Linked DNA regions of Cricetulus griseus. The protein of the gene in region 3 interacts with the protein of the main gene of each other region in a pairwise test. Links are inferred from orthologs where the notes say so. Each region holds a gene or a part of one and is shown on either strand. Other genes may lie near its edges.

What was found.
Region 1: the proteins of Prkn (region 3) and Gpr37 interact in a two-hybrid assay, tested with the Homo sapiens proteins (2 studies listed by BioGRID). The link is inferred for Cricetulus griseus from reciprocal best matches to the Homo sapiens genes PRKN and GPR37.
Region 2: the proteins of Prkn (region 3) and Tomm70 come close enough for resonance energy transfer, tested with the Homo sapiens proteins (3 studies listed by BioGRID). The link is inferred for Cricetulus griseus from reciprocal best matches to the Homo sapiens genes PRKN and TOMM70.
Region 4: the proteins of Prkn (region 3) and Syt11 interact in binary tests that used the Homo sapiens proteins (3 or more experiments, as listed by UniProt). The link is inferred for Cricetulus griseus from reciprocal best matches to the Homo sapiens genes PRKN and SYT11.
Region 5: the proteins of Prkn (region 3) and Rgs2 interact in binary tests that used the Homo sapiens proteins (3 or more experiments, as listed by UniProt). The link is inferred for Cricetulus griseus from reciprocal best matches to the Homo sapiens genes PRKN and RGS2.

What each region holds. Positions count from the first base shown.
Region 1 is NW_023276806.1:201,855,025-201,859,197, reverse strand, and holds the start of Gpr37 (prosaposin receptor GPR37), read right to left. Parts: upstream 2,810-4,173; coding exon 1,820-2,809; intron 1-1,819.
Region 2 is NC_048597.1:35,067,648-35,071,757, reverse strand, and holds the start of Tomm70 (mitochondrial import receptor subunit TOM70), read left to right. Parts: upstream 1-1,302; 5' UTR 1,303-1,339; coding exon 1,340-1,675; intron 1,676-4,110. UniProt on the Homo sapiens protein: Acts as a receptor of the preprotein translocase complex of the outer mitochondrial membrane (TOM complex). Recognizes and mediates the translocation of mitochondrial preproteins from the cytosol into the mitochondria in a chaperone dependent manner.
Region 3 is NC_048595.1:289,993,637-289,997,668, reverse strand, and holds the start of Prkn (E3 ubiquitin-protein ligase parkin), read left to right. Parts: upstream 1-1,225; 5' UTR 1,226-1,373; coding exon 1,374-1,380; intron 1,381-4,032. Other genes in the region: Pacrg (parkin coregulated gene protein), read right to left, coding at 619-774. UniProt on the Homo sapiens protein: Functions within a multiprotein E3 ubiquitin ligase complex, catalyzing the covalent attachment of ubiquitin moieties onto substrate proteins. Substrates include SYT11 and VDAC1.
Region 4 is NW_023276806.1:65,759,174-65,763,204, reverse strand, and holds the start of Syt11 (synaptotagmin-11), read right to left. Parts: upstream 2,808-4,031; 5' UTR 2,610-2,807; intron 1,355-2,609; 5' UTR 745-1,354; coding exon 711-744; intron 1-710. UniProt on the Homo sapiens protein: Synaptotagmin family member involved in vesicular and membrane trafficking which does not bind Ca(2+). Inhibits clathrin-mediated and bulk endocytosis, functions to ensure precision in vesicle retrieval.
Region 5 is NC_048598.1:46,447,524-46,451,517, reverse strand, and holds the start of Rgs2 (regulator of G-protein signaling 2), read right to left. Parts: upstream 2,806-3,994; 5' UTR 2,757-2,805; coding exon 2,647-2,756; intron 1,634-2,646; coding exon 1,532-1,633; intron 1,424-1,531; coding exon 1,362-1,423; intron 787-1,361; coding exon 620-786; intron 363-619; coding exon 168-362; 3' UTR 1-167. UniProt on the Homo sapiens protein: Regulates G protein-coupled receptor signaling cascades. Inhibits signal transduction by increasing the GTPase activity of G protein alpha subunits, thereby driving them into their inactive GDP-bound form.

The DNA.
Region 1 (4,173 bases), on a different chromosome or scaffold from region 3:
AGGGACTTATATGTGAAACAAGTTTGTTTCCTAACTTGAACTAATAAAAAAATTAAAAAAAAACTAACCTAAGTTTTTTATATTCTTTCTTCTGTTTGATACAATTCTCTTCGCTTGGGGTTTTCCTTCTGTAGCTTTGCTGATTTCATTCTTTCCCTTGTTTTTTGTTCTGCCTTCTTTATTGCTTTTATACCTAATGTATACGTTAGCAACCCCTACCCCAACACTTCAGTTGACACTGTGGCAAGTCAACACAGTTCCTGCTTGCAGACTGCCTCGCCTGTTGAAATTTACACTTTATTTTTTTTTTAACTCTCCTTCTTGCCTAAAGTCTTTTGCATTGTTAAAAACAAGAACCAGAGCTAAACAAGCACTTAAACTAAAACAAAAACCTATGTTAAAAACAAGAAGCTAAGCTGAAATTGTCTTTAAAAAAGACAATTTTAAATTGACACATACTCTTTTATGTAATTCACCTATGCACTCTCAAATTAAAAAGTGAACTGTCTCTCCAATAAATGACAGTGTTTCAGAGTTGCTCCATGCTTGGCAACAGGGAGGCCTTGGATCCTGGTAAGTAGCAACAGCTGATTTATCTGAGCCATGGATGGCCCTACATCTGAGTGCAGACAGAATAACAGAGGGTCTTATTGACGGGCTCTGGCTCTGGACCTCCTAAGTAGGCACTGTTTTCTGTTTACTTATCCTGGAGTTTTTACCCTGAGACAATGTTGAACATAGTGTCAACTGGCCCTGGTGCCAGACAGATCAGAGGCACTGGGATATTTACAGTTTCCCTTCTTGTGTTTCCATAAATGAAATGGACAGACTGAATGGAGAAAATCAAGGCCCAGCTGGCTAAAAACCACAACTGGCAGCCAAATACTTGGGCAGGTTCCAAGAGCTAGTGTTTAAAGAGAGGCCAATTTACAGAGCAAATTCCACCTCCCAGAGCAATGACTGGTACAGTGGCTTTAGCACGAAGCAGTAAACCCTTTCCTTACACAAACAATTTGCATTTCCAAAATTTGGAAGCTGTTTTCTTCAGAAATGTTTTTAATCTTAAGAGTAAATCCCTTTAAAATAGCCGATTCTTCACAGGCATAGTAGTAGCAAGTTTGTATCATATACTCTGTAAATGCTAGATTACCAGGGATGGGGCTGACGTCTTATTTTTAAGTTCATTTAAAAGAATGAACTGATTTTAAAAGTTGAGAATTATCCACAGCGGAAACAAGGAAGACCTAAGACCTTAGATGAAATAGTAGGGTAGACAATAGCTAACTTAAACTAGTTTGGGAGGTTCCTAATACATCACGAGGTCAAATGAAAAGCAAAGATTGATTTTCTTTTATGCATAAACTATAACTCCAGCTTTGGTAGTTTAGAAAATGCTCAGTAGTCTCCCTGGGGGATGGGAAGCTGAAGGAGTCATAATGAAACACTACAACTTTGGGAAATAAATGCTAATGGCTCCCTCCCCTCTTTTACTAGGCTCCAGTAAGGACAACCACAAGGATGGGCCATTATTTAATCCTGGGCTCTCAGATGAGTGCCAAGTCAGAAATACCGCCACATCCAGAGGACGGTTGTAGTGTTATAGGACCATCTCTTTTCGCAGGCTAGGAGCAGAGCAGTGTGAAGGTGATTTAACAAAGCTGCTTTCTTTCAAATACAGGCATGCATGCATAAGTGACAGAGGAAAAGAGAAGACATTCAGAGAAAGAAGCAAGGGGTCCCACCAGGTAGGTACATCCAACCGCTGTTCTTTTGCTATCATTCCGGAAACAGATAAAGGCAGCAGCTAGAAGGCATTTACCTCGATATAGGGCACGATCTTGCAGGAGAAATCTTCCAAAAGCCACTTCTTGGTCAACTCATGGAAGATGACCAGGGGTAGGCAAAAGAAGATGATGAGAAAGTCCCAGAAGGCCAGGTTCGCCAAGAGAGAATTGGAGATGCTCCTCATGTAGTAATTGTGACACACGATGCACATTACTGCTAAGTTACCAATGATTCCAGTCCCAAAGATCACCACAGATAAGCACATGACGGCGTAGGCTCCATAGGACTCCTGGGTCAGGGGGTAGAAGGGGTTCTTCAGTCTCACGCGCCTGCTGGTGCTGTTTCCACGGCGCGGACCCCCTTGGTCAGGGACCCAGTCATCAACAGACCCGTTTTGCGGTAGTGCCCTGCCTGGGGGAGCAATGGTCCTCCCTTCATGCCCCGGTGGAGGCTTTTGGTGGGAGCCTTGGGGTTGTCCAGTTCTCCGTGGCCAGTAAAAAAGATCTCTGGGTTCAGGGTCCGTTTTCACACTCTGCTCCTGGCTGCTCCGTGGAATGTCAGCGCCCCTGGGACTCATGTCTTCCCCCTCTGAAGTCTGAAGGAAGAGGTGGAGGTCCGTAGGTTCCCTTCTCCCCAAATTTCCTAGTGGCTCTTTACCCTGGGCACTTTTCCACCTCCAGGCATCAGGTGGCTTGGTTGGGGGACCCAAGGGCCCAGCAGCTGCTGCACCTGCTGCACCTGTCTGGCCGACCCTGGCCGGTGGGAGGTCCCAAGAGGTCGCCCCTCTCACCTCTGCTTCCAGTTTCTCCCTAGGCATACGGACTCGCAGAACCCCTCTTGCAGAATTCCCTAGTCCCCGGGCATCCCTGCTGCCGCCCTGAAGCAGTGGGGAACAGCTCTCCCCCAGACAAGTTCCATTCCTGGCCACAGGGACAAAGCTCAGGACAGCAGAGACAGAAACCTTCAGCAGCAGGAGGAGCAGCAGTCGCGATGTACGCGAGAGAGGCGCGCCCCGGGCCGGCATGGCTCGGCAAGGGCGCTCCTAGTAGCCCCGCACTGGCTTAACACCAACACCTGCTGCCAAACTTGGTGCAGGGAGTTAGACACATGTCACATACTCACCACTGGCCAGTGGAGAGGAGCTGAAGATGACTGGGAGAGCAGGGAACAGAACTGGAGGGGGGGGCAACACACCCCCTACAATCCTGCCGCGTTTGGCGTCCTGTGCATTTCTCAACCAAATCTAATCCAAGCTCTGCGCACCCGAAGGTTCCCAGGGAAAACAGATGATCCACCAGGCTGACCTTGAAAAGTTGCAAATACCACCTGATAGTTGCCTAATGTTGCGACTGGGCGCAGCCTGGAGGAAGCCCCACGTTCCTCCCTGCCTTTGGGTGGTGGCTGCCTTCTTGGTAACAGTTGCTCTGCTATTTACATCCTTTTGGTACAGCTTTATCCAGTCGCTAGTCGAGGTCTCTAGAGAGAAAGAAAAACAAGTCCCCTCCACCAGGGGACTGGCTGTCACAATCCCACTCCCGGCTGGCTAGCAGGGAACCTGTAGCAAACAGAGGCAACACTGATGCTCAGAGGAAACTCTTGACTGGTCTAACTCCGGCCACTTTCGAGGCTACTGTTGCCAAGGAGGAGGCAGATTCGAAACCCGCGGCAGCTGTCAAAGTTGTTGCTCCCGCAGCTCAAAGTTGACAAGGGGATGGCGCCGGCGGCTGTGCGTAGTGCACGGGCGGAGAAGACGTGGGGTGGAGAGAGAGGGAGGAGAGGGCGCTGCTGGTTTGTGCACGGTGCTGTGGGGTGCAGGAGCTTGTCACTGCCACCACCATCACAGCCCTGGCGGAGAGCGTGGTGCCTGGAACCGCTGCAGGCGGGCGGAGCGGTGCGTGGTCGCCAGGGGAGGTGGCCCGGCCTCTCCCAGCCGCTCAGCCACTGCGCGCGCTTTGCTCCAGGCCTCCTCCCTCTCGCCCTCCTTCTAACAGAGCTTCTGGTTTGTGGAGAGACGGGATCCCCTGGTGGTTTTACCACACACTAAACCCACACACGTTTCATTCAAGCGGTTCGCAGCGGCTTTCACTCGGAAGCTGTGAGCGACCAGGGAACAAGGGCGGAGGCGCTGAGCCGGCGCAGCTAGAGGCACAGGGTTGGACTCCGTGTTTTATTCCCCTAGACATTCCAACCAGCCGGACCTAACCGGTCACCACCCAGGAGAGAGGAGGATCTCAGGATGCTGGGTGCGGGCGGGAATCCCCGGAGAACGTAGAAAGGGCGAGACTCTTGCGATCTGCAACAATTGGTAGCAGCTGGTGCGCATGCTCAGGCCTCAAATTACCCCAGGGAACAGTGACACATTCATAGCCTTAGATTCCCCAGAGCAGA
Region 2 (4,110 bases), on a different chromosome or scaffold from region 3:
GAGGAAATGCATGGCCCTGAAGTTTCAAACGGGGCCATCCTATTTTAATTAGTTCTTGTTGGCCCTTCTCCTTTGCACCTCGTGCAGTGCTGTTATGTTGAGCATCCCGTGGTACTTAAAAGCCAAATGACCATTTGTAATTTTTTGGACACAAGGGTGTTCAAAGCTGAAATGAAGAGCCACACATAGGGTGCAACATTTATTTATTCACGCTTGTCTTTTCTTCTTGAAAACAATGTGAATTCCAAACACCTCGCAATGTAATTTTCATCTTTTGAGACCTGATCCAGCGTTCATGAAGGACAAAATAATGATGTGACAAAGTTATTACAGATTAAAGAGTTGAGTTAAAACATACTCTTGGAACGAGGGAGGGAGGTTTAAGAAAGAAAGCCGTTTCAAATAAGTGACCAACTAGAGTTCCGTGACAGGCACAAGTGCTCCAGCGAAGAGTCTATGGGCTGGGATGATGGCAGGTGGAATTCCGCCCAAGATACAGACGTAAAGATGACTGGCTCCAGGGCCCTCGAAGAAAGCCTCTACTCGGAGAGCCTCCGAACAGACACATCGCCTTTCTAACAACTGCACCTGGAGCACAAAGGCACCCTCCCGTCACTTTGATTAGTCAACCTAACTTCCTCAGTTTCCGCCTAGTCTTCGCTATTACCCCAGGAACTAGAAACTCGTCCAAACTCCACTCTGGACGCTGCAGAGAGATGAAGCTCGATTACACATTCAGCACAGCGTCCTCAGCTCTTCCTCTCACGGGTTTTAGTCTTTAACAGGCACCAACGCAGACACAACCTCAAAACCTACCTACCCATCAGCTGGGCGGCCGGCCCCACCGCCGGCCAGTTACCTGCAGGGCTCGGCACTCCCGCCCACTCTCAAGGCCCCCGGGAGCTGTCCCTCTGCTGATCCCGGCGCACCCCAAAAACCCCGCGGTGCACAGCCCGCCTCCTCGCTCCACCGGCGACAGCGCCGCCGGTCCTTCCACCCTGCGGGAAGGGGAGGAGGAGAGGTCGGCTGTCACGCAAGCCCTCGCAAGCAGGCGCCGGGCACAAGGAAAAAGGCTGCCCAGAACGGCCGGCTCGCACCCGGCCTTCCGACCCCGGAAGTGATTCCTCCCCTACACACGCGATAGGGGCGGGCGCAGCCGCGGGGCTAGCCCGGCATGCCCTGGGCTTCCGGTGACCTCTGGCCCTTTTCTGTCGTCCGCTCCCGCTGCCTGGCGTGCTCGCTCGCGCGTTTCTTTCCTCCACGCTCCGGGCTCCCTCCCGCCCGGTGACCGTGGCGCCGCGACCGGCCGCGCGCGACGGCGGCGCGGCGGACAGTCGTCATGGCCGCCTCTAAGCCATGGAGGCGCGATGGCGGCGGCGCGGCGGCTGCGCCCAGTTCTGGAAATGGAGTGGGCGGTGGCGGCGGGACTGCGGGCCCCGGCTCGGGCGCGGGGACCCTGGCGCGATGGCACGTGGCTCTGGCCATCGGGGCGCCCCTGTTGCTGGGTGCCGGGGCCATGTACCTGTGGAGCCGAAGGCGGAGGCGCCGGGAGGCGGGAGGCCGGGGCGACGCCAGCGGCCTGAAGCGCAACAGCGAACGGAAGACCCCGGAGGGCAGGGCCAGCCCGGCCCTGGGCAGCGGCCACCCCGACGGTTCTGGTGACTCCCTGGAAATGGTGAGAAGCCGCCCAGGCCACAGAGGGGGGACGAGCGGATGCAGCTTTCCCTTCACCCGTTGTGCGGCCGAGGGGCCCTCCCACCGGTCGGAAACTGCCGAGTGGCCGCAGAGGACTTTGGAGTCGTTTCTGGTTGCCTTTGGAGGGAGGGAGTGGGAGTAGCAGCTCCTGGCAGGCTAGCGTAGAGATTTCTCTTTACCCATCTCCTCTGGGATCCAACAGACAACCTTTTGCTTTTCTTCTCAGTGACACAGCATTTATCCCTCGTGGTGTAGGTACGGAGGACACGACGAACAGATAGAATAATCCTGTTAAGCCAAGAAAGGCAAATTTCACGAACGATTCGGACTTGCGACGTGCGTTGTTCCTGTGATTTCCCAAGGCAGGCACTTCCCTAAGAACCGTTTAATAACTAACGAGCCATTCCTCTTTTGCAAGGGGGTAGGTGAGCCACTACAGGACAAAATTGGGAAAACTCATTAGGTAGCTTTATATATAGGAAATAAGCCAGCTTCTAAGGAACAAAGTAGTGGTGGCTCCCCTACACCCGCACACTTTGTCTGGAAGCATCTTAAGATTTTCTGTTTCACTTGGACGCTTGTATACGTGTGTCCAAGGCTGATATGTTTGATAGTCTCTGATGTCAGAACGGGCATTGGCGTGATGGATTGCTCTGTCTGATCTGGTGATCTGACTACTAAATCTTTTTTGACAAATCTGACAGCTGTGTGGAGAATTGGCATGGCCTGAGATTGAGTGAGCTAAGGGACATTTGTCCGGGTCTGTAGTTTTATGGTGGTATTAGCAGAGAGAGACTTACCGGTAAATAATTCCAGGTACATACACAAGTAAATTCTTTATACTCGTGCAACCCATGTACACTTACGTTCATGAGAAAAAAAAAATGAATGGCAGTCGTTTTCATTCCATCCGGACTGAAGACCCATTTTATTTATTTATTTATTCATTTATTTTTTTACCGAGTAGCCTCACAGGTTCTGATTTATGGCTATAGGAATAGTACTTACCATGTGTGAGTCACTGTACTAGCCCAAAAGAAAGCCATTTGTTCTCTCCTATGGGGAAATTAGATAGCTTGTTTCTAACTAGGAATTCCTATATTGGAGGGAACTGTGATTTTTAAGAACTGAGGAGATGTCATTGTAAATTGGCCTGTGGAGCATTGTTATCGGTGAGTCCACTTTATCTTACTGTCATCCTAGTAGGCTAAGAGGATTAAAATAATAAGTCCCTTCTATTTTATCCAGCAATAAAAATGTTTAGGATGAAAGCCTGGGCGCTGGCAGCGGGAGCAAACTATGCTGGACTACCCAACCCCAAGAAGCCGGCTTCAGAGATTGATTTAGTGTGGCCACACTGGAAAGAGGGACAAATAAAAGGTTCCTGTAACCCCTGAGTTTGTCTTTGGGCTGTACACATGAACTTAAGGTTTAAGTAGAGGAAGAACCAGGCAGGTGGTGTACATAATTAGCCAGCCCTGGTTAAGAAGTAATGTGGTTGACCTGTGTCTCCAATCTGATTCAGTTAGAGAGGTGATGGGAGGGCTGGGGTGAAGGGTTCTTAAAGGGATTAATCTGGTTCGGACAAGGGTAATTACCTTCATCTGAAGGGTGCTCTGCCCTCTGAAGTTTTATTCTTACTGGACTCCAAGGTGACTCAAGGAAAAAGGTTAAGGACAATGCTCTGTGTTTAGTTGAACTGAATGTGACAGACAAAATGAGTGCAGAGATGTTAGGCTTTTATCATATTTTCAGTCACCTTTTTGGCCAAAGTGAAGTTTTAAGTGTATTTTTAGCAAAAGCAACTTCTAAGTGCTTGTTTCTGGTTAGATTGTGAGTACCAGTGAAAGTGGTTGTCAAGGAGATTCTTTGACTTGGTTATCCATTGTCGTTTTTGACTTGGTTATCCATCTGTATATATGAAATTTTGTACATGTGAAAATTTCATATATAAAATTTCTATGTAATTTTAATCTGGATTAGTAGGTAAATGAAAGTTACATAAAAGTTGTTGGTTCTGTAGTAAGCATAAATGAAACTAAGTTAAAAATAAGGGAGCTGGCCTGAAGTGGCTTAACAGTGAATAGTGCTAGTACTCTAGCAGCGTACAGGAGTTTGATTCCCAGCACCCGGGCCTAACAGCTCATGCTGTAATACCAGCTCCAGGGGGTTCAGTTCCTCCAGTCTACACGGGCACCTGCACTTGGGTGCACGTAAGTGAGCACACACGTACACAATTAACATGAAATAAGAGTAGTTTTACATATGAAACTGTTTTAGCATCACACTGTAGTTTTAGCCACATCCTCTATTCCAGGCATGCTTTTACTATTGGTTTTGAAAGAATTAGTAAATTCTCTTTCAGAATTTAGATTTCTTTAAATTCTCTTTTTAATTTTGCAGCATTGTCTACAG
Region 3 (4,032 bases):
GTATTGGTAGGGACACTTGAAATACAGCTAATATTATTTAAAAAATGTATTTAAATGGCCTATCAGGAACCAGTTTTCACATAAGTAGCTTTTGAACACTACAACAGACTAATACCCCTTTGTCAGATGTTGTTGAATTCTAAGACATTCTAAAATGTTCCAGATGAAACAAGTTACTTTAGATTATTGATGAGTTTGTGTGTTCCAGCTATACACTGCTTCGTGTTAAAATTTCGAAAGCCTATGACTTCTAAGAATTCTCACTCTAGAAGGCCCTTTGCTGACTGGAACCAAGTTAAGTTGCAAGAAGGAAAAGGATTTTTTCCCCCTTCTAGTTAAAAAGCTTAAGTATAATTTGGGCTTAGTGGTGAAAGCACAAGTTCTCATGAAAATGCTTGTAAACTAGCCCTGGACATTACCTGTCCTCAAAGCTATCTAACCATCTGGTCTACCTCTCTGCATATTGGTGGGCACGCTTGGCTTACTGATAGCCATTGCCAGTTCTGGCAAACAGAACCCAGTACCTGGGCTGGGAATCCATCCCGGGGCCTGCCAGGCTCTACAACCTCGTGTCCCCCGACTTGGAGCAAGTGTGTTCAATTGAGGAAGATCACTTACGACTGAGTTTTTCATCATGGCTTTGACTGTGAAGCCCTCAGAAACCAGGGAATGAGGCTGGTGCACCGGGAGCGGCTGTTGTGGCAGCAGTTTGGTCCTCTTCGGCATCTTGTCTGGGCATTTATTTAAGGTCAGGGTCTCTTTTTCTGCCACCATCTTCCCAGGATACGTTTTTGTTCTTATCAAAAGTGTGGTAGACAAACCAGTGGGCTTTACAGATGTGAGCAGGAGGTCAGGGAAAAATGTAAAAAAAGCGAGTTACAGGTTTAAATCCAACCCCTCGTGGTGCCCAGAGCGATCCAGATGTTTGGCAGCTCCAAGGTGAAGGGAGTTTAGGGGAGGGGAGGGGCGGGAAGAGGACTGGGACCCGAGGCTTGAGCCGCTACAAGCTTCCAAAGGTGAGCCTCCTGGTTGCTAAGCGACTCGGCAACACTACTACCCGATAGTCCCGCCCCTTCGTGACGCACATTTCCTGGGTTTGAATCCGGAAAGGGCGAACGGCAGAAGCCCGCAGCCGCCTTAGGAGCTCAGGAGCGGCTGTGGGGGCGGGGAGACTCTTACGCGTTAAAACTACGACTCCCAGCAGGCACCGCGCGGGGGGCAGGCACGCACGCGCACTGAGCCTGCCGGGCGCGCGGGGTGGTGAGCCGGGGATGACTGACTAAACCTGGGAGAAACGCTGGTGGGAGGCTCGGGCGGGTGCCGGTGCCCGCGTAGGCCGTGCTCGCCCCGCAGCCACCACCCACCCGGTGACCATGATAGGTACGTGGGTGCCTGCCAGGTACAACCTCTCTGCGCCGCCCCGCGCCCGTGTGTGGCGCCACGTTGTCACACCCCGCGGGTCCCAGTGGGCTCCTCGGGGGCTCGCCCGAGCCACCTGTCAGTGTGAGGGCGAAGGCGTGTGCTCCTCACTCCGTGGGCCCCGGGGGCCTACCAGGGGCCAGGCCGGGCCGGGCCGGGTCGGGTGTGTCTTATAGCATACGTTGTGTGAGCGTCCAGTCCCCACCTCGCCCTTGCCAAGGTTAGCCCGGTGCTCCCTGAAGATGGCATCCCTGCCGACACCCGGGTGCACCACAGCGCCCCCCGGCGGCCGGGCTCGTCCTGCCCGACCGGCAGCAGCCTGGCGCTCTGCCACCCCTGGGTGATAACCATCCCAGCTCTGATTTCTGTTTCCCTTCTGGTCCCTGTCCTTCACTTTAGGACAGGTTTAGACACTGCAGGACTTGAAAAAGCCCCCGGGAAGCACTGGACTGGTGGAGATAATGGGTTTGCAAGAGATTGCACTTTGCTCCTTGAGTTCTGCCTTACTAAATGTCTCCTCGCAGATCTGAGGCGAAAAGAATAGCCGAGAGTAGATAATAGTACAGATGGAGTCTTTCCACCGAGTGCAGCTGCATGAGTGTGGCTTTGGAAGCGGCCGCTAGGGTTGTTATAAGCACCGTGAAGTAGAAGGTCCTTCTCGAAGATGTCAAACTCCCAGTCACTTGGGGTGTTCCCCCAGAATGAGTTGAAATGCACAGCCGTGTTGGGCGATCATTCCTGTTTGAAGGTTTCCTTTCTGTAGACTCCTGCAATTGGTGTCTTAGTGAGCTTGTTTGTGATAGACGCTCCAGAAGTATCACCCTGAGCACATTTGAAGGGGATCTATCCCAGATGCGCCTAGAAGACAGGTGACAGGTGGCTTTATGAAATTAATGCTTTACGTGATGCAAGCCCCTAAGTCTGCTTTTACTTATGAAAGTAAGGTTAAAGTGTGCAGTCTACCCCTCACTGGGGGAATCATGCCAGGTCACCAACATCCTCATTGAGGCAGAGGTACAAGCTGAAGATGCCCAGCTCTCAACTTTGGTAGGGTAGTGCGTATTTCTGGTGAATGAATTGGAAACTTGTGTGTAGAGAAGCTACGTTTTTATGAATCTTACTGAGCCTGTTAAGTGACGTTTACTTAAAATCTGATTGTAAACACAAACCTGAACCGAGTCCGTGAACCAAGTGGGAGAGATTAGGAAAAAAAAAATTATGGGAGATTTTACAAGAAAGAAATAGCTCATATTTTGAAGACAATTGCACACATGTAGTTTCTTCCAACTTAGTTTACGGATGATTTTGAGAAGCAAATGTCCCATAAAGCTATATAAAGACAGAAAGTTAAGAACTAGAAATAATTATTTTTGTAAAGAATCTAATAAATTATTATTATAGTAGTAACTTTTAAAATGGAACACATTTAGACAGTTTTAGTAAGGTTTATCTGGAACTGTCTTAAGAAGTGTGATATCTGGGCGTCACAACTAAATCTATTACTGACAAAAAACAAGGGAAATTCAAGGTGAATTTTAAAGCTGTTCATTTTCTTTCTCTCACTACTGTTGTTGTAGGGTGAATAAGTGTATATTCCAACACAAGTAATTAAACCCCTGTCCCTCCACCCCAAGAAAAGGAACTTACTTATTAATTAAACTGCATAAAGAATGTTAAAATAAATGAATTATTTAGTTCAATTAGTTTTATTGCCTAGTTCCTTCCAGGAGTCATTTTTCGTTGTGACTAATCTTTGAGCCAGGAAACACAGACAGTCTTTATCCAGAGAAGTCTATTGCAGGTCAAAGGACACATAAATGCCTCTAGGAACTGAACAGTGTCTTATCCTGCTCAGCACGACACAGAGCTGATGCCTTTTATACTTATACTCTCCCACCTTGCTGTATATCCTCCTAGTGCAGGCAATAACCCACTCTTACACTGAAGTCCTTGCTTTCCTTTGAGAAAAACATGGATTGATTTCCTGGCCAAATATGAGAAAGGGGAACAAATACTTCATTACCCATAAAATAATTTCCCTTTTATTGTCTCAAAATAGAGGGTTCCCATTTTGTCATGGAGATGGCATTAAAAGTACTTACATTTCCCACTTGGATATTATGATTTTCATGTTAAATGCCTTGACCCAGACAGACTTAAAACATAATTTAATTGAAGTCGATGAAAAAGTCTGCCATTTCGAGGCATGGAGAAGGGATACACAATAATGAAATGCTTCAGAAAATTTAACTGACAAAAATGTAATTTTGAGCACTTCTTTTACATTTTTTAATCTTTAAAAATGAGCACTTCTTTGTGTTTAAAATTGAATTTTGGTGGTGACAATTGTGAATTGCTCTAAATGTCCTATACATTTAGGCATTTGATAATATCAGCTATTAAAGCACATGGGTTCTCATACAATTAAAGTAGGAAGTTCTTAAATTAAAACCCAGTTTTTGAAATAGAAATGTCACTCAGTGATATATCCTAGGGTTCATAAGACTGTGGGTTCCATTCAAAGGTGTTGCACTTTTAATTGATTAAAGTATTATTTTCTGTATCTTGTTAAAATCTTCTAGAGAATTTAACTGCATATAAAGATCACACTCA
Region 4 (4,031 bases), on a different chromosome or scaffold from region 3:
AGGAGTCTCAGAAATAGACATCACGTCATCTCTCCGCCCGGCAGCGCCAAGCGCCATTTGGTAACACCGGCAAGGACCTCACCATTACGGTGCAGAACGAAGCTTGCAGGGCTAGCATTTTACCCCAGCCCTAGCAACCCACTGACCGGCCTAAGGAGTGGCTTCCCTTTTGCTCCCCACCCCCGCACCCTTCTTTCCCTGGAGGCCTCCGCCTCCCTTGGCTGCCAGCCACACAGCCCATAGTCTCCACGCTGCCATCTTGAGGCCCCATCCCCCTTGCCGCTTCCCTCTCCTGCAGCCCTCAGAAGTAGGAGGGGGAGGAAAGGGGCACCGCCCTGCATGCCCCAAGGGGGAGGGCTCGAACTACCCCACCTCTCTTCCTCCAGAAGGTGGGTTCACATCCTCCGCATGCTTGCCGTTTCTCACCTCCAGCCGTGCTGACAGTGCACCAAGGGTTTACGGTCAAGGTTTTAGCATCCCGGATTGCCTACCCTCCGTGGCACTCCGGCCTTGCCACCTCTGCAGCCCAAAGCTGAAACCCAGGCGCTGTCCACTGCCTGCCTTGGAGTCACTCACCACCTCAGACCCTATTCTAGCAGGGCTGGCAACTAGAGGCTCCCATCTGGACTTCACTCCCCGCCAATTCCTCAGCTACCTGGCTTTGCGCCGGCACTGATAGCCTCAAAATTAGTTTGTCAGACTCTACTTACCAAAGCTGGGGCGTATATTTGTGATCTCAGCCATGTTGTAATCAGAGGCTGTTGGTAGCAACACTTTTGCAGAGGTCAGACAACTTTGGGAATCTCGGTGAGTACCGAGGCCGCGGCTGTAGACCTCCGGATCAGGGGAGGGGAAGGTGCCTGGCAGACTGCCCCTGCGACAGTCGGATCCCTGGTTGCTAGCTGCGCTTTCCTCTTAGATGCTCCTGGGATGCTCTGAGCTAAGGATGCAGGTGCAGTCGGACTGGTCCTGATGCGAGATAAGCTCCGCCTCTTTCCGAAGGGCCCTCGGCAGAAGACTCCGCCTCTGCCCGAAAGGTTCCGGAAGCTCTTCGAGAGGAGACCCCTCCCACCGCCGAGTTTTCCCGAGGACAAGGCTCCGCCCACCCCCAGGCTGTGGGCGTTGGGGCTACAATTTCAAAGCCCAATAAGAAGTGTAGGTGTTGTGCTTCTTTAGTCGCATATTCCAGTGACTGTAGCACTCGAGTGGGTGAGGCAGGAGAGTCAAGGACGGCCTTGGCTAGGTCTCCAAATACAGAAGGGCAGGAAGACAATCGCTTTAGCGTTTTCTGCAGCTGTGACTCCAGTTGCCTGGGTTTATACGGATGGAAGCCGGACATGCTGGGTTCCAGAAGCTGTGAAAAACAAAATTCTATTGTTTCACTAATGATTGCTATTGCTATGTGCATTCCTGAAACAATAAAGGCAATTATGTAAACTAAACTTTAGAAACCGATTAAAGATCAAACTTGGGCAGAAGCGAGACGAAACTGAGTTTCAGGCCAGTACCCTGTCTCAAAGTAGCACAACAATAACAAAGGACCTAACATCCACTGGGCGGTGTGCTTTCAACCCAGCAAGACAACCACAACAACGACAAACCAAAAACAAACCAAAATAACAAACAAACATACAAAAAAAATCCCAATAAAATAAAACAAAGCAAAACAAAAAAAAAACATAAAACTCTTGCAAACACGAGGGACTTGACTGTGTACTGGGTCAATGCATGAGAAAGTGAGATTGGAATTTTAGATACCGAATCCTATTGATAACTGGGTACTTTTGTGATCATCTACCCAGCATGGCCAGAATCTGCCAACTGAAAAAAGTGATAAAATATCCATTGGACTCCAGGAGTTTTCGTGGAGACAAAATCGCCTAGAGACAATGGGAGAACATTTTGCACAATGAAAAATATTATGTAGATATGATAACTGCCATACCTTGAGTTCAAGACTGCCTTTGTTTTTTGTATCTAGAGCATCTTTCTGAATTTTAGGAATTCTCTTTTTCCTATGTTCCAGGTATTTTGCGGGTAGGGTGATTAGTTGTCAACTTAAACTATAGATTCCCAACCCCCTGTTTTGAGTTGTATGTTTAAAGTTAGAGAAACCTAGGAAGTATCTTTCTTTTTTCCTCCCTCCTTTTTCCCTCCCTCTCTTCCTCCTTCCTTCTCTTCCTTCCTCCCTCCTTCCCTTCGTTTTTGAGACAGGGTTTATCTGTGTATCCCTGGTTGTCCTCAAATTTGCCCTGTAAACCAGGCTGACCTCGAACTCTTGAGATGTGCCTGCATCTTCCCCTCGAATGCTGGGATTAAAGGCGTGGGCCACCACATCTGGCAGGGAAATGCCTTTAATGTATTTATTTATAGACAGGACAGCGGGAGTTGTGTTGAGAATAGCTTCGAACTCTTGATCATTGTGTCCCCACGCCCGAAGTGCTGCCATTATACGCGAGCACCAGCAAACTGGGTTTGTTTAGCTTTGGGATTCAAGCTCAAGAGTTTGCAGCATTCAAGGTAAGCACTTTAGCAAGTTACAGCTTTAATTGCCTGCCTGCCTGAGTGCCTGCCTGCCTGAGTGCCTCCGTGCTTGCCTGCCTACTTACCGGCCACCTAGCTGTCATATACTGCTACTCTTTCCCTTAACTGACGTATTAGCGCTGTGGCTTCAGGCGGCCCTAAAAGAAGATGGCTCCTATCGTTGTGCGCATGCTCCTTGACGTCCAGCCTACGCGCCTCGGGGTCGCGCACGTCAGGCAGTGCCGTTGCCTTACTTCCGCTGGTGCAGAAGCGGGGTTTCCGCGGGATCAGGCCGGCGTCCGAGGGTACTTGGTAGTGTGCGGTGGGGCGGGAAGAGGCACGTTAGACGAGGGACTCCGGGGCGGAGGCTGCCCAGGATGAGGGGCGTCTGCTCCGAGGCTGGGTGCGCGGTGCGTGAAGGGGATTGCGTAGCCGGGGTGTGAGTGTGTGTGGGGGGGCGGGCTTGGGCCAGTGTTGAGCGGTGAGGAGAGCGCAGCTAGGACTCCCTCTGAAATGTTTTCCCGGACGCCGAGGGCCCCACCCCCACCCCCACCCCCCGGGGTGCAGTACGGCGGGCGGATTGGCGTTCATCCACTTTGCTGATCTACCTCCTGGTCTCTAAGGAGCAGACTCTTGGAGCCACTGTTTTGTGAAGCCTTTGGAGCGATCCCCGTGCAGTTCTGACAAAACAGCTGCTGGCTGCTCCCTTACCCCGCACTCTTTCTGCTTCCACCCTCCCTGAATCTCACGAAGTCATCTGTGAAATAAAGGAATCGCCTAGGTGATTCCCATTCCCCTTCTTGGTCACTTACCACCCTCCCTGACAGGATCAACGAATCTTCTCTGGGTCATTGAACTTTACCAAGAGAAGAACCTGGGTTGTTATGGTGAGGGCCTCCTTTAATGCCCTAGAGAAGGTGCATTGCAGAGGCTTAAGGTTATCTTCATAGATGAAACTTGGAGTCGGAGGGAACAAAGCCTGCCACTAGTAAGTTTCCTCTAGTACTGTTGAGTGCTCTTTCAGACTTGAAAGGTTGGCAGTGAATTATTCTGTTCTTGGAACTCCTTGTCAAAGTGTTTTTGTGGGAAGGATGCAACCAGAGGCTGGGGATGTACTCAGATGGTAGAGTGCTTACCTTCCATGCATAAGGCTTCGGTTCCCAATGCATAGAATGGCATGCTGTATAAATACCTGTAAGTGGAGGCAGCAGGGCCACAAGTTCAAAATCTTCCTGAGATAGAAAGCAAGTTAGAAGCCACTCCTCCAGTACCTATGTAAACGCTAAGTGCTTGGTCCAAACGCAGCGCAGCATTGTTCAAGCCCACGTTCATCCATTCACCTCTCAGGCAACAGTCAGTGAGTGCCGACATACCCACATGGTGCTGGGGCTGGAGACACCAGTTAAGGGTTCCCTTTTCTCAACCGAGTTCATATCCTAGCCTTTGCGGATGGAGAGCCAGAGATTACAAAAGTGATATGTGATATTGTAAGATTTACTTTTGAATTT
Region 5 (3,994 bases), on a different chromosome or scaffold from region 3:
AGCCTGTCCTAGGTTGCTGGCTTTCTGATCCACTACCCAACTTTGAATCAATAGTTCTGAGTGATGTTTCCTAACACCCAGGCTGAATTCAAGGTCAGTCTTTTGGCAGGTCACAGCCTTTTCGTCTTGGGAGACAATGAAATGTCCTCTGTTGGGGGCTCCTGGCCTCATGTAGCATGGGGCTCCGTGGTGATCTGTGGCTTTTTACACAAGTCCTGGTAGAATTCTGACTCCAAGAAGCGAGGGTAAGAATTGTTCTCCATCAAGCTGTATACCCTCTTCTGGGCTGTTGTAAAACAGCCACTTGTAGCCTCTTGGATATTTTGGGCAATCAGCGTTTTTGTTTGAAAGTCTATGTTTATCTGAAACCAAAAATAAAACAAAGCTTGATTTATTTGGTATCCAACATTATAAATCAATGCTTAATAACAAAACACAAAAGATGTAATATGTGATCAGTTCTCACTGTCAGATTGGAAAAACTGAAATGCTAGGATAGCTGGGGTGGGGAGCCCCAGCTCTTCCCACTGGCACTTTAACTGGTGTATCCAATTCTTGTGCTTCACTATGGGGTTGAAGATGTCCAAATTATGCTGACACCAATAACTTGTTTTCTTACCTCTTTGGGAGCTTCCTTTTCTATGAAGTCAGTATATATTTTTCTTGCTTTGGAGGACAGTTTTTGGGGTGACTTGGTTTTTTTGAAGTCTTCACAAGCCAACCAGAATTCAATATTTTCTTCACAGAACTCAGATTTTAAAAACGCCCTGAATGCAGCAAGCCCATCTGAAAGCACAGGAAAACAAGCATGTAGAATGTAAATTGAGTGACCAGATAACACATGGTTCTTTTAGTACTAGAATGATCGATCAGCTTTCTAGATTTCACTCAAACCTGTCATTCTCACACTTTAGCTCTTTAAGCACTAAGATGCCAGCAGGCAAAATGCTTAACTTTGCATTCTGCAACGACGACAACAAAATATACTGAACTTCACCGTCAATGCAAAATAAATATTTAGAGGACAGTCATCCATTAGTTCTCTGGGAACTAGGGCTTTTGAAAATATTCTATGCAATGGAAAAGCTGACTCAACCCTAACTATGAGTAAGTCGTTTTAATTTTTAGGCTAATTTTTCTTCCTAACTTTCACAAGTTAGGCTAACTTTATTCCTGAAGTGAATACCTCATGCTTTTCCATGATTAAACTGGAGGACGAGGGGAAAGAAAAGCAGGCTTTATGAAGTAAATGGTGCTAATGTCTGATGCACTTCCTGCTAGCTGCTCATTTGTGGTGTAGACACAACATTTCTAGGCTCTTGGGATGCTGGTGAAAGATCAAATTCAAGAGGTTAACTTACATTTACTGGCCAGCAGTTCATCGAATGCTTCTGCCCAGAGCAGCGCTTCCTCAGGAGAAGGCCTGCAAGAGAAGTTCCGAACATGAGCTATATAAACCACACATAATAGTTCCCCTCTCCTGTTCAATGGCTAGACATTCTGTTCTGCAAGTACAGGAGTTGCAACTTACTTGATAAAAGTTTGCTGTTTGCTTTTCTTGCCAGTTTTGGGTTTCCCAGGAGTGGAGGAATTTTGCAAGAAGTAGCTCAAACGGGTCTTCCAATCCTTCAAGCTAGAAAAGAAAAAAGGAGAGGAAAAAAATACTTCAAGCTGCAATTCTTGAATAGTGAAATTATCACCAGTTGCAGTAGCATATGGTCAGTCACCAAACAAACCAGACAGGCAAGAACAGTCCATGCCATATGTGGGATATTTAAACCCAGCACCTCATGGATTGAACCCAGCATAGGACTACATAACACAGCTAGGATATTTAAAATTTTCACAAGTTATTTCTGACCTACGAAAAAGGTAGCGGTTTTTCTGCATGGTTAACTACAACTTGGAGACAATTAATGATTGAGAACTGCCGTGTGTTGAGCCAGCTGATGTTCCTTCCCTTTCTGTGCTAGAGGCAGGAGGGTCTGGTCCAAGATACAGGCGGTGCATAGAGGGGTGTGTGTGTGTGGTGTGTGTGTGTGGGGTGTGTGTGTGTGTGTGGTGTGTGGTGTGTGAGTGTGTGTGTGTGTGTGTGTGTGTGTGTGTGTGTGTGTGTGTGTGTCCCGAGCTCCCCCTCCGCGACCTCCCACAGTGCTTCTCCGCAGCAGATACTGCAGAGCAAATTACTCATTCCACAGTCGTGACTGGATGAGACCTATTTTATGATTTAAAACCGTATCTAAAGCGAATACATTCGGAATCATCCCAAACATTACCCAGCAGCTGTGTAAGCAGCTCAGACCTCACAATGCAATGTATGGGCGCTGCGGATCCTATTCAGCTGCAGAATACTCATGTCACCTTACATGCAGAACAAAAAGCCAGCCATCGCCTTCTCAGCCCAGCTACCGCCGCCACCTTCCTAACAACTTCCCATAGTTGAAACTCTACGCTCACACAGAAAAAAGCACAACCACGAGATCTAGCAAGCTGACTTTTCCTTCTTTCTTCCCCCCGCCCCCCCGCTTTCTCTGCAGAGGTGCAGACCGGAGTTAGCTCAAGTCAAAGCCGAGATGGAAGGAAGGTCGGTCCCGAGCAGCAAAGCCATGCGGGGTAAGAGCTCTCAGGAAGAGAGGGCATACTCACAGCGTCCGCTTCATTTTCTCCCGCTTCTCCTCGACCTTGGGGCCGTTGCCTGCGCTCTTGTCCATGGGTACGCAGTCGTGCTGGACAGCCAGGAACATGGCACTTTGCATACTAAGACTCCGGCGGCCACCGCAGCTGTTTGCAGCCGGGCGCGCGCCGCGGTCTTTTAAGGCCGGCTGCGGAACAGGGGCGGGGCCCGGAGGCGTCGGCTCCGCCTTTCGAGGGTGCGGATTGGCCCGCTGCAGACGGCGCGAGGGAGGGGTCGCACGGGCCTGCGGCAGTCACGGCGGCAGCCGAAGGGTCTGGAAGCCAGGGCGCTGCTGACGTAGGTGCCGCAGCCTCGTGCGCACACAGGCGGGGAGGCGGAGGGCGGGGACAGCGCGGGATCCCTGCTCGCTTGTTCGGGTGGCCCCAGCCGTGCAGGGTTCCCGAGTTCGTGACTTTTCCTTAAGGCCGTACCTTTTCCTTTCCTTTTATCTTTTTTCGAGCCCCGCCTTTGCAACTCATGCTTTGTTCACGATCTTTTAGATGCACCGGGACACCTATACACTGCAGCGGGCAGGGGGAGAGCCCTACCGCCCCACCCACACTCCACCTATTTCGGGGAAGGACTTAAACAACTAGAGAAACCCGAAACAAGGGCTTCTGAGCTAAGTACTGTGATTCTCTGTTCGCTCAGGCATCTTGGAATTCCTTATGGGAACGCACGCTGGTCAGGGAGGAAGAAGGAGAAAGTGCCTATTAAAACCCGGTGTTTTAAATGATTCTGCATTTTTGATCTTTAAACGCCTGGCTGCAGAAGGCTGTGACGTTGCAGGGTCATTCCCCAGGAGATCTGAAGGGCGTCTCTAGGCGGGCACGGCACAGATCTGAGTGATAGAGAGAAACACAAAGGGAAACCCGAGATCTTGCGGTTCTGATACACTCGGATCGTTTGTAGTTTCCGAGTGTAAGGAATCAGGATTTCCTAATGAGTCATTCTTAGTTGGGCAGGCTTAGAATTTGCCAGATATTCACCTGCTTAAATTAAGGGGTGGGGGTGTGAGGCTAGAGCTGGATGTGAGAGTCGGGAGGTGTAAAGTTTGCTTGGACAAGCTTCATTTGTCAGTTCTTCAGAAACCCATCTCTACTCCCGCAGGTTTTAAAATGCCCTGATCTGTAAGAACAAATACATGACTTCAACTACAAACTGATTCAGCTTCCTATGTTACGGGAGTGATGCGGCGGAATACCTAAGTGGTTTTCCCATGAAGTCAGGGCAGATAGATTAACAACGAAGTTATGGTCATTCTGCTTCACACTAGACCTTACTAAAAGAAAAATAGAGGCACATTCCTCAAACTGGAAC